Linked DNA regions of Arabidopsis thaliana. The protein of the gene in region 2 interacts with the protein of the main gene of each other region in a pairwise test. Each region holds a gene or a part of one and is shown on either strand. Other genes may lie near its edges. The genes, in order: SPL13B, bbx23, BBX29 and BBX15.

Region 1 (4,779 bases), on a different chromosome or scaffold from region 2:
TGACAATAGAGAAAGAAAGTTAACACATTATATGCCAAAAGAAAGGCATGTGATATACAACCGTCAAAAGAAAAAAACGAGATGAGTACCTTTGTGTACTTATAATTCTGAAGGTCGACAAATATTTCGCCACATGAGCCTCTACAATCAACTGTATAGAACGCTACATCTTTTGCTAGGTTCCTACACTTTTCATTAACTGCTTTCTGCATAACAAAGCACATTATTTCAAGTGATCAATCTACATGGCAACAAAAGACAAAAACAACTGGAACAACTAAAAGAAGGAGGTATCAACAGTACCTTAGTAGCACGAGAACTGTAGCCGATAACCACAACATCAAACTTCTCGAAAAAATCAACACCAAGTGTTGACAAATCACCTGAAATTGAAGACATAGACTCGATGTTACTAAAATCATTTGTTTCTACTAAAATTAGAGAGAAATGAAGAAAGGAGGAGTAACCTTTCTCTATTGAAACATGAACCATAGGGTTAAAATCCTTAAGTGAATCACAACAAATCTCAGCTACGGTTTTGCCTACATAAGCATTTTCATCAGGAAGAATCAAGAAGTTTGCGTTGAAGACTTCCGTTGTAACCAATCGATCATCCAACAGAGTCACACTACCTACTCCTGCCAACACAATGTTCTTACAAAACTGCAACACCAAATGGAGGAAACCAAGTAAGATGCCAACACTCACTCTACTGCAACATAGCTAATAGAGAGTCACAAAATAAAGTAAGAGGTACCTCAGCAACAGTGCCCTTAATTCCAGATACCAAAACATGAGATTTACTCAATCTGCAAGCAAAAACACAAAACAAAATTCAGAGAAGCCCTAATCAAAATTTCAACAGCTAAATTAGCTTAAAACCCAGAAAGAGATAAACTTTCACCGAGTATAGCCCAACAAGAAGAGTTTATTAGTACTCAAACGGAAAATCAATAACTTGTTGTTGCTTGAAGCCATAGAAGTTAGATTCAATGTGAAGTACCTTCTTTGAGCACCAGCTCCCCATACCCTAATTTGACGGTCATAAAGAGCAGTTTCCTGCTCGGTGAGCTCATCTCCGTCCATTCTCGTAGTGAAACCCTAGAACCGACCTCGAAGAGATGATCAAACCCGTCACGAATCTACTACAAGAGGTTTTCGGTGACTCACTCACTGAGTTTGAGATTTTTTGTTAACCGGAAAATTGCTTTCTTTTTATTTATTCAAATTACATGGTTTGTTTTGGTTTGGTCCGGTTCGTCAACTACAAATTTTTAAATTCAAAACAACTGTGCATTCAATAAATAACCAATTTGTTATTTTTTAGGACAATTTATGGGCCGAAACAAATGAAACATGGGCTTTGGACCCCAAATCTTTTAAATCCATCTGCAAAACTTTTAAAGACATGGAAGACTTTTATACGATTCTCCCTGATAATTGACAACTTGTGTGACCCGTAACTATGAAAGTCAAAGAAAATAACGCGTATCGGTGGAAAGAGAGAAGAAAAAAAACAGAAGAAGATGTTGTGTAATGCGAAGCACAACATTCACATGCTATGTTTTTTGCCGTAAACAACTAAGCATCCTATACCTCTTTCTTTAGTATCACTTTCCAATTTATTGTTTCATTTTCATCATCATCATAGTTATAAAAAAGAAAAAACCACATCTATTTTATATCACAATTTGAAAACTAATATATTTTGGATAAGGGTCAGTAAAAAGATACAAGATTTATGAGTAATTTGAAATTTTCAAAAGTATACTCTGTTCATTCATAAAAATCGGATGCTCAGAGTTCAGAATTGATGAATGGCAGAGAAAAATATAAACAAAGAAAAGTTGAAAAAGTAAGCAAAAGAACAATCAACAACAGCTGTCACTTTCCTCCATTCTTTTCTTCACTTTTTCTTACTCAAAGTTTTTAAAAAATGATATCAATAAAACCCTAAATCAGGAAAGTAAAGTTACAATTAAAGTAAGTAAATCATTTCTTAACTTAGTAATAGCTATTATCATCAATTTCTCTCTCTCTTTCCTCTTTCTCTTATTTGCATTATTGAAGTAGCAGCCACACTTGTTGTCTCCACTTTCTCTTGCTAAACTCCATCATCTTCTCTTTCTTTTTTTTCACTTGTCCCATTTTTTTATATTTTCATCTTTCTCTTTTGGAGTTTCTTCTTCTACTGACTCTACTGGTAGGTGTATGGATTTGGTAAGATTTCTCAACCTTCAAACAACAAACTTTTCTTATTCTATAGTTTTTTTTAATGTAATAACATGTTTATAATCTTACTTTAATCTTTCATTTTTATTGCATTTTTTTAATTCTTGCTTGGAATTGAGTAGACAGAAAAAAAGTTTTTTGTTTTTTTTTTTGTTTTCCTTTCTTCCCATTTTGTGGGATCTGTTCTAGTTTCTATGTTTCTGCACTTCTCATTTCGTTTTTTCAGTACAATTAGTTTGCCTTTTTTGGGATTTTTTTTTTGTTTTTTTTTCAATATCAAAATAGATCATTTTGTTAGAGCTTCAACTACAATTTCAGAGTACTCTTTATAATTGTGTTTTTGCTTTTTGCTTATGCTTTTTTATTTTCCTTCATATGTATTGAAGTTGAAGTTTAATTGAGTTAAAGATTCATGGGTTTTATGTTTACTAGTTGTTTTTGCTGTTTGTTCTTAAATTTAGAGTACCAATATCAAAAAGGACAAATCTTGATATTGCTTTGATTGCTGTTGTGTATGTATGTGTTTTTATAGTGAGAGAAGAAAAAAAAGCACAATCTTTGAATGGACTGGAATTTCAAACTTAGCTCTGGTTATTTATCTGGATTCGATCAAGAACCAGATTTATCACCAATGGATGGTTCGATCTCGTTTGGTGGGTCGTCACAGTCAAAAGCGGATTTTTCATTTGATCTAAAACTTGGAAGAAACATTGGAAACTCTTCCTCTGTTTTTGGTGATACAGAGCAAGTGATTAGTCTTAGTAAGTGGAAAGATAGTGCTTTAGCTAAACCAGAAGGTTCAAGAAGCTCGAGTTCAAAGAGAACAAGAGGGAATGGTGTTGGAACCAACCAGATGCCGATTTGTCTTGTTGATGGATGTGATTCTGATTTTAGTAATTGTAGAGAGTATCATAAGAGACATAAAGTTTGTGATGTTCATTCAAAAACTCCTGTGGTTACTATTAATGGTCATAAACAGAGGTTTTGTCAACAATGCAGCAGGTAAGATTGTGTGTTAATGGTTTAAGCTTCTTGTTGGGTTGGTGAAGATGTTAACATTTGTGTCTAATTAGGTTTCATGCTTTGGAGGAGTTTGATGAAGGGAAGAGAAGTTGTAGGAAACGTCTTGATGGACATAATCGAAGACGACGGAAGCCGCAGCCTGAACATATCGGTCGTCCTGCCAACTTCTTTACGGGTTTTCAAGGTTTCTGTTTTAAGAAAAGTTAGTTAGTTTCTTGAATCCAATAGACCGTTCCTTGTTGATGAAGAAGCATTGTTTTATGTTTTCAGGTAGCAAATTGCTAGAGTTTTCTGGTGGTTCACATGTGTTTCCAACTACATCTGTGTTGAACCCGAGCTGGGGAAATAGTCTTGTAAGCGTTGCTGTAGCCGCCAATGGTTCGAGTTATGGGCAGAGCCAGAGCTATGTTGTTGGTTCTTCTCCTGCAAAGACAGGGATAATGTTTCCAATCTCTTCTTCTCCAAACAGTACCAGAAGCATAGCAAAACAATTCCCTTTCTTGCAAGAAGAAGAAAGCTCGAGAACCGCATCGTTGTGTGAGAGAATGACGAGTTGCATCCATGACTCTGATTGTGCTCTCTCTCTTCTGTCATCCTCCTCGTCGTCAGTCCCTCATTTGCTTCAACCACCACTTTCTTTGTCCCAAGAAGCAGTTGAGACAGTTTTTTACGGGTCGGGATTGTTTGAGAATGCGAGTGCAGTCTCTGATGGATCGGTTATATCCGGTAACGAGGCTGTCCGTCTTCCGCAGACATTCCCGTTTCATTGGGAGTAGTAGAAGAAGAAGTAGGTAGATAGATAGAATCAGAAAGATCTATTTGTGTCTCTTCTCTTCTCCCTCATTTTTCAATGTTCTTTATCATCATCATTGTTCTTGTTAACACTACAAGAAATATGGACATTCTTAACACACCGAAAACGCTATAATAACGTTTACATAGCGGATTCATAAACGCTGTGTTTGCCGGAGCTATCTTAGAGTGGTCACATACAATAGCGTTTCTTGCTATGCTATTAAATGTTCACATATTATGGCGTAAAAGAAATGCTTTGATTTCCTTTGTTATTGCACAATTTTGATGTTATACTTTTGTAACTCTTTTTAAGGGCTATAAACTATTATTTTGTAGCTATATTTTATAGGCTATGATCTGATATGTTGTAGCTTTATTTTTTTGGCTATAAATCTATAAACAGCCTATAAGTTTGGGACATTTTGTTACACATTTGCAAGAAACCTCTTTTTGATCAAATTCAATATATATAAAATCTCCATACAAGTCTCAATCCAAGTCTTAACTAACATTACAATAACAAATGCCACAAGTAAAATGATATCACATCTTCTTTCTAACCTTGACTCGCTTCTCCAATTCTTCTCATAATCTTGTACAGTCTTCTTCTTCTCTCCAATCAAACTTCAAACTCGAATAGTGTAAAAATGAGTACTTGAGCAGATCTTACATGAAACTTAGAATTAACATCACTATCTCTTCTCTGAGCTTAAACACTTGATAAACCTC
Region 2 (3,340 bases):
GGGATTGCAACTAAGATTGACGGTACCGGAGCCGCGTCATGGAGAAAGTTTCTACAAGCCTTTTTGGTTTGCTAGTGGGATAAATTTTTGGTCGACCAGGAGAACAAAGTTTTGGTGTGTCGTGGTAAGCATGGGGTCTCCAACGTTTTTTTACACGTTGTGGGAGAAGATAAATGTATACAATTGGATCATGATGAGGAAGAATCTCAATGGTCACTTCTTAATCAGTTATGTTCCAACGTTGGTTCAAATCCAACAAGGTCTATAGTTCTTGTAGTGAGGCAAAAAGAAAGTACAAGAGCTAATAGTAGTAATCTATGACTGTCTCATTAAGTTATGCATTTTCTATCCAAGTCTTGATATTTGAGATAAATAATTATATTTAATCAATAATTATTTATTCATTTTTTAAATTTTGTTTATATATCTAAGATCGATTCAAATAGTATTCACATTTCTACAATTCTTGAAACTATTGGAACAACTTAGCTTTGGTTGTGTCGATGCCATGACCACTGACTTTAGTTGTTAAGTCATGGTTTTAATATTTGTTGTAACAAAAAGATTTGATTCCTCAACAAGTTTTTCTTCTGTGTAAGATAATATATTACAGAAACTTTTATTATTAAACATCAATGGCTCCGGAACCATGATGTTGTGTGTATATCTCTAAGGACTTAAGATTACAGAAGGATTCTTGTGTACTATCTCACCTGAGTTTCCAGCTTCAGTTTCCTCACTAGAGTACTGACTATTCAGAGACACTTTTGACTGAATCTGGTAAGTTTCAGAGCTAAAACTAGTGCTGCATTCGGAGTTTTCAGTCAAAGACTGATCAGAAACTTGTACTCCAGAAAGTAAGAATCTTTGGTGAGAATTGCAAGTGTGAATGGCTTCATCACAATCATTGCACAGCATTGCTCTATCCTCTAAGCAGAAGAAGTACCCTTTTCTCTCCTGCATATACATATATATGAGACATCGGTTAAAGAGCTCAGCGAGTGTTTAAAGAGAAAAGAGATTGGAACCTGGCAGATATCACATAGAGGAGCTCCAGAAGCTGTGGTGGCTGAGGCTGCATCTTTTTGTAAGGCGACTCGGTGATGTCTTTGGAAAAGTTTATTAGCTTCATGAACCTTAATGTCACATGGCTTGCATAGTACAGCTTCATCTGAACAACAAAGTACTTCTGCTTCAGCCTTTTCACACACTTCACATTGTATCTTCATCCTTCAACTTTATAATCCAAATCAATGTAAATTGCCAATACACAGACAGAACAAATGTTCTTTGACATTTATGAGAATTAGGACAAGGAGTGAATCTAAATATAGGAAACAAGAAAGAACAAGCTTAAATAAGTTCACATGTGTGGTGGGATCATAAGTTATATCAAAACCTGGCTCTGATACCAAGAGGAATTGATGATCTTTATTCATGAAAAGAGAGAACTATATATAGATATACAACGATATGTCGAAGACGAAATTTTTATCTCAATATGGGGTTATTAGACCAACTTTGGGTGGCATTTAAACCAATAAATGTTCTCCTACCAAAATCTCCATGACAAGATCTTTTTCAGAAGCTTGTATAGTTTTACTTTCTTTTGAAAACATAAATTGACAAACATAGCGACAAGCTTCTCTTAAGACACAAGCATGGCAAGCCAAAAGTAAAGGCAGGACCACAATATGCATAAAGACTGTGGAATTAAAAGTAACTAGCCATAGGGCAATAGAGGTCAAAAACTCTAAAATGTTGTCAGAAACTGAAATGGAGCATGGCATCATTCAAACTCTCTCCCATTCCTTTCCCATGCAGCAGCCAAAATTCTAAGACTCATCACAAACAGAATTGGTCCCAAATATCATAATGGGCCAATAAAAATAGGCCTGGATATAAATAACTATTAAGGCCCAATCCAATCCATAGTTTTTACATGAAGTCTCTGGAACATGAGAGAAGACCCTTAAAGGCACAACAAACTTATCCAACGTGTAGTAACATAATTAGTACAAGTCACAGCCAAAAAAGCTAGAACAATCTCAATATCTCTCTCTGCAAAACTCTACCAAAAGAAAGATATTTCAAGAAACTTCTTCATTCTTCATACAATGTGTATTATATATACACCAGAGAATTGAGACTAACCATCATAGAAAACAAAATAAGAAAGTGAAGTTAAAAGCCTAAAATTTTGGTTTCAACCTTCTACAATAAATCCAAATCACTAACCATGATGAAGCACTTGCTAAGCATCTTCTTCATAGGAGCTTTGTTGCTTGGAAACATCAAAACAAGTGAAGGGTCTTTGTCTTCTGCACTTGAAACTACTCCAGGCAGCTTGCTATCCGATCTCTGGCTAGACCGGTTCCCTGATCCATTCAAGATCTTGGAGAGAATCCCATTAGGACTCGAGAGGGACACAAGCGTGGCTCTGTCTCCAGCAAGAGTAGACTGGAAAGAAACAGCAGAAGGGCATGAGATAATGCTCGATATCCCCGGTTTGAAGAAGGATGAAGTAAAGATAGAAGTGGAGGAGAACGGAGTTTTACGAGTCAGTGGAGAGAGGAAAAGAGAAGAAGAGAAGAAAGGAGATCAATGGCATAGAGTGGAGAGATCATATGGAAAATTCTGGAGACAGTTCAAGCTACCTGATAATGTAGATATGGAATCAGTCAAGGCCAAGCTTGAGAATGGTGTGCTCACTATTAACCTCACGAAACTATCTCCTGAAAAAGTTAAGGGTCCAAGAGTTGTTAACATTGCAGCTGAAGAAGACCAAACTGCAAAAATCAGCTCTTCTGAATCCAAAGAACTCTGATATTGAAGAAACTATATATTACTTTCTGAGTCTGAAGAGAGTTATTATAAATCCAAGAGTTTTGAGTTTCATATTGTGTAAGCTAAATGGAGTGTCATGTTTTGTAACCTATCTACCAAAATCTCTGTAACCTTCTCTATATGCAATAAAATGTTCATTTCTTTATATTATAGAGCCTCTTGATTATTTGTTATAGAACATTAGTCATGTAATTAAAAATCAAGGTATATGAATTAGTTTGGAATCAATTTTGGCAGAAACTTGAAACTAGATTTATTCAGATAACAGAGAAAATACTCTGTGAAAACCAAGGAAATTGACAAGAGTGAAGAAACAGAAACAGAACAGAACAAGATTGAAACTATTTAGACTTAGATTTCATGAGCTTTTGAGCATCAGCTGGAGTGGGAAGTGCAGGAATAGCTCCTTTCTGAGTAGTACACACTGCTCCACATGCATTTGCAAAGGCAAGTGCTTCCTTCAGCTTCCCTTCATCCTGCAACATTCACATTA
Region 3 (3,640 bases), on a different chromosome or scaffold from region 2:
CTCATAGAGTCATCGGTATCCCTGATAAAAAGAATCAAACGTGGAATGGTCCGAATGAATAAAATCTTAGTGTACATATATATAAATCATATAATTTGATAGAATTTATGTTGAAAATGTAAATAATATGTATTTTTATCAACAAAAAAATTTAAAATTATTATAATTGGGTTGATCACCCATACTGAACAAATTTAACAATTTCTATTGTAAATTTGTAATCCACTTCTCTTTTTAATAAATCTTTAAAGAAACTTGCAAAAGAAAACATAAATGGAAAAGAACTAACAAAAAATAAGGAGTAATTCGTAAGATAGATGTGTATTGATTCGAGGCTTCTTCTAAGTTGTTCTAAAGTTGTCATCCACAAACATTTAAAAGTAAAAAAACAAAAAACCATAAAACTCAAAACACCTCCACTCATCAGCGCTTTTTTAATGCATGTGGCTCTCAAATGAAGACATCTCGTGTTCCTTTGATTCTTCACAATTCACACTTCACCCTTTACACCACTAATCTTCGCCACGTAAAAATTTCTCAAGCATGTTACGTAGGCCCAACTTTACCATTTTTTTTGTTCTTATATATATTTTACGTATTATTTGTTATCCTAAAATGACTTTCAATCCATCTTTGCTAGTCTTAATCTCGATTTCGTGATACAAATTAATTCCTTTGATCAAATGAATACAAATAATCAAATTAATTCATCTTTGATCATAGATGAATTAGTTTGTTCTATGGATCAAAACCACAGATCAAACTCTATCATACAAAAATCGTTGTGATTTTCTTTTAAAAACTCACAACTGTAAACATTTGAAATGACAAAAAATATTTGTCTAACTACAAGCTTCTTAGCTATCTATCTATCCTGTTTTTTAGATAAAAATTCGTAATACCTTTCATTTTTTTAATCCAGGTTTAATAATTTTTCAAATATATATTCTATATTCTTTTTAATTACCATTAGCAAATAACAAGTAATATATCGAATTGCCAATGATGTGAAGTAAAAATGTAAAATTAGTGGTTGGATTTATTTATTTATTTTTATTTAGAGAAAAAGACATTTAACTCGAATTATGTAAAATATGGAACGCTAAAAGTGGTTGATAAAATCATAAAATTAGGTTCTTCTCCTAGTAACCATGTTGATTCATGGACACCAAAATTTCCGAACCCAAAATGCGATATTAAAAATCCGATCATCATTATTATCCTACCGTAATACCAACGATATAAATGATATTTAATTCACTTTTCATTTTCGAAAACAAAACGCTTGGACCGGAACGAGAGAGGAATACTGAAAAAAGTAAAAAATGAAAGAAAAAAGAGTGGACCCATTAGACGTGTATTGAGGACCAGACAAATCCCAGGTGCGGATCACGTGGTTCTAAGTCTATTACAGAACCTGATTCGTCCACGTAGGATAACTCAGAATCTTCCCTCTCCTCTATACGAGGCTAATATCTCGCCACGTCATTAACTAAAAATCTAACCGCATAAAAATATCTGATGAAACATAAAACGAATAATATCTCGACACGTAAGACTTCGCCCATAGGAGAGCCTTGTCCCAGTACATGGTTTCAGGACCAAGTAAATAACAACATTTCCTTTAATTTTTATTATTATTATCATCTCTCCTAAATTTAAGAATTCGAGAATAATACTCAGCCGCGGAAACCTTAATCAATTTCAAACACAGATTTAGAACTACTAATACAAAATTATCCACAAATTATCCACCATAAAAATTAAAGTTTGAACGAATCCTTTAATCTTATTCTAATTTAAAATTAGGAAGCTTCTTTGCATTTCATTAAAAAATTACGTGAAAAATCGTTTCGTTAATATCAAAAAGACGACAATATCCTCGAAAAGAATTAAATCACATAAAAGTCGCCACGAAATTCTCATTTTACAATTCTCTATTACGCTGTCTCTTATTCGTGTCCGCAGAAGAAACGAGAGAAGAGAGAGAAGCAAAAGACCTTACCAAGAATATTTATAACACACAAACATCTAGAGACAGAGATAGACATAGAGAGAGAGCTTGTGGTTGTGGTTGTGCGAGATAATATCTAGAGATGGGGAAGAAGAAGTGCGAGTTATGTTGTGGTGTAGCGAGAATGTATTGTGAGTCAGATCAAGCGAGTTTATGTTGGGATTGTGACGGTAAAGTTCACGGAGCTAATTTTCTGGTGGCGAAACACATGCGTTGTCTTCTATGTAGCGCGTGTCAGTCACACACGCCTTGGAAAGCTTCTGGGCTGAATCTTGGCCCAACTGTTTCTATCTGTGAGTCTTGTTTAGCTCGTAAGAAGAATAACAACAGCTCCCTCGCCGGGAGGGATCAGAATCTTAACCAAGAAGAAGAGATCATTGGTTGTAACGACGGAGCTGAGTCTTATGATGAGGAAAGCGATGAGGATGAAGAAGAAGAAGAAGTGGAGAATCAGGTTGTTCCGGCTGCGGTGGAGCAAGAACTTCCGGTGGTGAGTTCGTCGTCTTCGGTTAGTAGTGGTGAAGGAGATCAGGTGGTGAAAAGGACGAGACTTGATTTGGATCTTAACCTCTCCGATGTATGAATATGAATCTTTTTCTTTATCTTCTTTTATTATTAGGAAATGATTAAGAAATCTGAAACAATTCTTTTTGAAATGCAGGAGGAGAACCAATCTAGACCATTGAAAAGATTATCGAGAGACGAAGGTTTGTCAAGATCAACTGTTGTGATGAATAGCTCAATCGTGAAATTACACGGAGGGAGGAGAAAAGCAGAGGGATGTGATACATCATCGTCGTCTTCGTTTTATTGAAATCGCCAAGGAAAGTAGAGATTGTAGCCGTTGATGATTCTTTTGTTTGGTTGATTAGATTAATCCTCATCGTTCATTTACTAACAACAATACTTTTAGTGAGTTGAGTTAGTTTAAAAACATTTCAATATAATGATTTTTTTTTGTGTTTTTTTTTCTGTGTTACCTAGAATATATATGTTCATATGTCTAGTATAAAATCATATAACATAAAAAATAAAATGAAGCAAAGTTGTTCAGAAAATGATTAAGAAAATGAAGCTGTTTTCTATTTATTTATTTTTTAACGAAAATGATTAAGAAAATTAATTAGTGAAACAAGAGATATTATTATAAATTTATAACGTGAGAAGGATTACCAGCCAAAACCAAAATTTATTATGATGTCAATTTTATTTGCCTTCCCAGAACTAGAAGTGTCTGTGTCATTGTGATGTTACAACTGAAGAGTACATAACGTATGAATGTCCGTTAGCTTTGTAAATTGTAACTACGACCACTAAAAAGAATCAAACAAAAAAGTTGTCAAGACTTAGAAAAAAGAAGATATTTAGTACCATGGGGTCCTCCTTTAAAGTTTTTTTAAAAAAAATTTATTTGTCAAACGCTTTGAACCCATCGTGTCTTTTGTATCTAAACCGTGTTCGAAGCTCCAAAAAAATAAAAAATGATGCTCTCATGATTTATATGTAACTAAATAAATTGGTTTTATTTCTAATTTTGAATCTATTTGTTTTGTGAGAAATGAGAAGATCCAAGTTTTTGGTTTCTTGATCGTATATGATAAATACAGTATACAGTAATTCAATTCA
Region 4 (4,030 bases), on a different chromosome or scaffold from region 2:
ACCTACATATGTCTCAGTTTCAATTTTACGGTTTCCGTAAGAATTTGTAGGGATTCGTGGGCTCGAATTATGGGGCTTGTATTAAAATTTATAAAGTAAAGTTCGTTTGCAGAATTTTATTAATTATATCGGCCCATATATATTTGAGTTTTGAGCCGACACATTATTTAGCCCAGTGATAAAGGCCTCTTACGTAACTCGATCAGTCCTCCCTCATCTCTAATAAACAACATGTTCTTCACTTTTTTCTTTTTTTTTCTACAGAAATACAATCCAAAAAATTACTTGTTCATGTAAAATAATATGTGAGAATTAATGTTATACTTTGTAACCAAACTGATTAGCCTTCAATATTAGTGGATCCATAGTCATTAATTAATCGTAGTTTAGTGGTATTAACTCCATTTGAGTTTTTTTTTTTATTTCACTTTGCTATTGAAATAGGAAATATTGTCATTTAAATATAGTATTATGTTTTCGATTTTAAAATCCTAGTAATAGTGGCTGCTCGTTCTTCTTATGATAATGAGGCTTCCTACATTTAATTGTGTGCATCAAATGTACATCTATATATCAATAACATAAGTAGATTGGATGGAATGTGAATGCAAATTTATAATTCTAATCATATACTTAGGTTATAACCCTAAACAAATGTAATTTTGTTTTCATGAAATATCTTATTAATCATGTTACCAATAAAGTTATGCTTACTAATTGCTTTTTTCCTTATGCTAACCAGTAATTAGTGGGTATAGTTGACATGATGATAACATATGTGATTGAATTGTAATAATGCGACATTATGAATAAAACATGTTACTAAAAATGAATACATGTTAATATCACCCGTGAAACTATTATCTTTGATGAAAATAAAATTACAAATTACGCATTTTTAAGGTTATTTACTAAATAAAACTTACCTTTTGTCTTACCATATTTCTCTTGGGTACAATATCGCCTTTCTCCAAATGAGGATATCACTTTTGTCTAGGTAATAGTTCATATCACATGAGTAGTCTTTATTATGATTTTATATTGATAGCTATAATTAACTCTGTGTTGATAATAATATTTTCTATTGGACAAGACTAACCAATAGATAAATGAACCTGGCAACACATGGTGCACCAAAATAAGAATAATTAATAATAAATATTGTACCAATTTATCATTTATGATAAATCTCCACATTCATTTTCTTAAATTTATTTGTTTAATCAAATAATCAACCATTGTAGCTTAAAAACTTCTATCCAATCAAATCTTCCTTCAACTTCAAACTTCAAAAAATTGAATCAATGCTTTTTGCTAAGATATTTCTCAGATTTCTAAAAAGTGAATCAATGTTTGTTGATAAGTATTACCAAAATTGGAGAAAAACTATTTAGCTAAAAAAATTATTTTATCCATAGTCAAAGTTAGTAGTTATTATATAGTCTCTAAAAAAATGGTGGAAGAAAAGGAAAAAATGTCAAAGCTGAAACCTTTGCTACTAAAAAAAGGAAAAAAGAAATAACAAAAATCACAAAAAGTCTTGAATATTGAAAAAAAAAAAAGAGTGATTGGGCAAGGAAAACGACAAGGTAGACCACACAAGAAATCCAATGGATAAAGAAGCTGACCAATTAAAACACTATTACGAAGATCATCTTCAGAACTCAACCAATCACAAATCAGATAAGGCCTCGTCATGGGTCCCTAACTGAAGACATAAACACCCAAAAAGTACATAATTTTTCTTATAACTTCAAAAATCCACTGACACAAAAGGGAATGCGCTTCATGCGGGTCATCCTCTTAATCTCAAACTCTCTAGGACTACACTAAATCTAACTTTTTGCAGAGAGCAAAAGATTCAATAATTGAGATTGATCTCAAAACCAAAGCTCTCGTGCTCTTGTCGTTGATGTTGGTTGTGTAGACTTTGTATACAATGATGAAAAGTTTGGCGAATGCTGTTGGAGCGAAGACGGCGAGGGCTTGCGACAGCTGCGTGAAGAGACGTGCACGGTGGTACTGCGCGGCCGACGATGCTTTTCTTTGCCAGTCTTGCGACAGTTTGGTCCATTCAGCAAACCCTCTTGCTCGCCGCCACGAGAGAGTCCGTTTGAAGACGGCTAGCCCGGCGGTCGTAAAGCATAGCAACCACTCATCAGCTTCTCCTCCACATGAGGTCGCCACGTGGCATCACGGGTTTACTCGTAAAGCTCGAACGCCACGTGGCTCTGGTAAGAAAAACAATTCGTCGATATTTCATGACTTGGTTCCTGATATTAGTATTGAGGATCAGACAGACAACTATGAGCTTGAAGAGCAGCTGATCTGTCAAGTGCCGGTTCTAGATCCGTTGGTGTCTGAGCAGTTCTTGAACGATGTCGTTGAGCCCAAGATCGAGTTTCCTATGATCAGAAGTGGTTTGATGATCGAGGAGGAGGAAGACAACGCTGAAAGTTGTCTTAATGGATTTTTCCCGACCGACATGGAGCTTGAGGAGTTTGCTGCTGACGTGGAGACTCTGCTCGGTCGCGGGTTAGACACGGAGTCGTATGCCATGGAGGAGCTAGGGTTATCTAATTCAGAGATGTTCAAAATCGAAAAAGATGAGATTGAAGAAGAAGTAGAAGAGATAAAAGCCATGAGCATGGATATATTTGATGATGATCGAAAAGACGTGGATGGAACAGTACCGTTTGAGCTAAGCTTTGATTACGAGTCGTCACACAAGACGTCCGAAGAAGAGGTAATGAAGAACGTTGAAAGTAGTGGTGAATGTGTTGTTAAGGTGAAAGAGGAAGAACATAAGAATGTTCTGATGCTAAGATTAAACTATGACTCGGTGATATCCACTTGGGGAGGTCAAGGTCCACCGTGGAGTTCAGGAGAGCCACCGGAACGAGACATGGACATCAGCGGTTGGCCAGCCTTTTCCATGGTACGTTATTTAAAATCCTCATTCTTATAGAATTCAAATAAAAGTGAGTTTACTGTTCTCAAATTTCTAAAAGTTGAAATAATATGTTTTAGGTGGAGAATGGAGGAGAAAGTACTCATCAGAAGCAATACGTTGGTGGATGTTTACCATCAAGTGGGTTTGGAGATGGAGGTAGAGAAGCTAGAGTTTCGAGATACAGAGAGAAGAGGAGGACAAGGTTGTTTTCTAAGAAGATACGGTACGAGGTACGTAAATTGAATGCAGAGAAAAGACCACGAATGAAAGGAAGATTCGTGAAGAGAGCCTCGCTCGCTGCTGCTGCTTCACCATTAGGTGTTAATTACTGAATAGTTAATATCTATTCATGTTATATCTCACTTTACAAATTTCGGTGAATCTTTTTTCTTCTGAAACAACAGAAGTTATTTTGGCACTTAATTGTGCTTTGAGGACTTGTATGTACATAGAAGTAACCAATAATAATGTGACTTTTACTTGTATTGATAGCACTGATGTATATATCTGGTAATAAGAATGTGCAAACTGCAAAGGCATTTTGATTGTTAAATTACTCTATCTTAAACATGTTTACCATGGAACGAACATAAGAACAAAAAACTGATTCTCTTAAAAAAAATCGATTGATCATCTTTACGAACTCTAAAAAATAAGAAATAGTTTTAAACTATTTGAAAAACTTTTTGATATCTGGTAACACTATATTATCCTAAAAGAATCAGAATCGGGATTTCAAACACAAAAATGGCTAGACAGCAAACTATAATATGCAGAATGAACAAGTTTTCCGTGAATTGTCATTGTCATTGCCAATTGATGTCGCATTTTTTTCTGTATAGTCCAATTTCTTCTTAATTTCTAGCTAAAAGATGAAAATGGCTACTAACTACCACACAAGCGTATATTGGACCAAATATCTATAAGCGTTAATATCATCAAATCGTTATCAACGACCCATTATTAATTGTGGTACATAAGAAATGTTAATATTGGTGGTGTTTGATATTATTGGTAAGATGGATAATTTCAAACAAGTTTTGTTTGATACCAACATAAGAACGAAATTTCTTGGTA

The links.
Region 1: the proteins of bbx23 (region 2) and SPL13B interact in a two-hybrid assay, tested with the Arabidopsis thaliana proteins (one large-scale study listed by BioGRID).
Region 3: the proteins of bbx23 (region 2) and BBX29 interact in a two-hybrid assay, tested with the Arabidopsis thaliana proteins (one large-scale study listed by BioGRID).
Region 4: the proteins of bbx23 (region 2) and BBX15 interact in a two-hybrid assay, tested with the Arabidopsis thaliana proteins (one large-scale study listed by BioGRID).

What each region holds. Positions count from the first base shown.
Region 1 is NC_003076.8:20,615,149-20,619,927, reverse strand, and holds SPL13B (Squamosa promoter-binding protein-like (SBP domain) transcription factor family protein), read left to right. Parts: upstream 1-1,864; 5' UTR 1,865-2,220; intron 2,221-2,389; exon of another isoform or gene 2,390-2,764; 5' UTR 2,765-2,794; coding exon 2,795-3,234; intron 3,235-3,305; coding exon 3,306-3,439; intron 3,440-3,525; coding exon 3,526-4,031; 3' UTR 4,032-4,224; downstream 4,225-4,779. Other genes in the region: SAE1B (SUMO activating enzyme 1B), read right to left, coding at 90-206, 304-383, 468-663, 758-809, 1,004-1,086; AT5G50665 (uncharacterized protein), read right to left, coding at 4,760-4,779. UniProt on the Arabidopsis thaliana protein: Trans-acting factor that binds specifically to the consensus nucleotide sequence 5'-TNCGTACAA-3'.
Region 2 is NC_003075.7:6,368,298-6,371,637, forward strand, and holds bbx23 (B-box zinc finger family protein), read right to left. Parts: upstream 1,654-3,340; 5' UTR 1,230-1,653; coding exon 1,029-1,229; intron 958-1,028; coding exon 670-957; 3' UTR 532-669; downstream 1-531. Other genes in the region: ATHSP22.0 (HSP20-like chaperones superfamily protein), read left to right, coding at 2,240-2,827; AT4G10260 (pfkB-like carbohydrate kinase family protein), read right to left, coding at 3,189-3,323. UniProt on the Arabidopsis thaliana protein: Probable transcription factor that may be involved in seedling photomorphogenesis.
Region 3 is NC_003076.8:22,113,772-22,117,411, reverse strand, and holds BBX29 (B-box type zinc finger family protein), read left to right. Parts: upstream 1-1,872; 5' UTR 1,873-2,096; coding exon 2,097-2,591; intron 2,592-2,675; coding exon 2,676-2,828; 3' UTR 2,829-3,108; downstream 3,109-3,640.
Region 4 is NC_003070.9:8,933,194-8,937,223, reverse strand, and holds BBX15 (B-box type zinc finger protein with CCT domain-containing protein), read left to right. Parts: upstream 1-1,679; 5' UTR 1,680-1,939; coding exon 1,940-2,938; intron 2,939-3,030; coding exon 3,031-3,285; 3' UTR 3,286-3,508; downstream 3,509-4,030.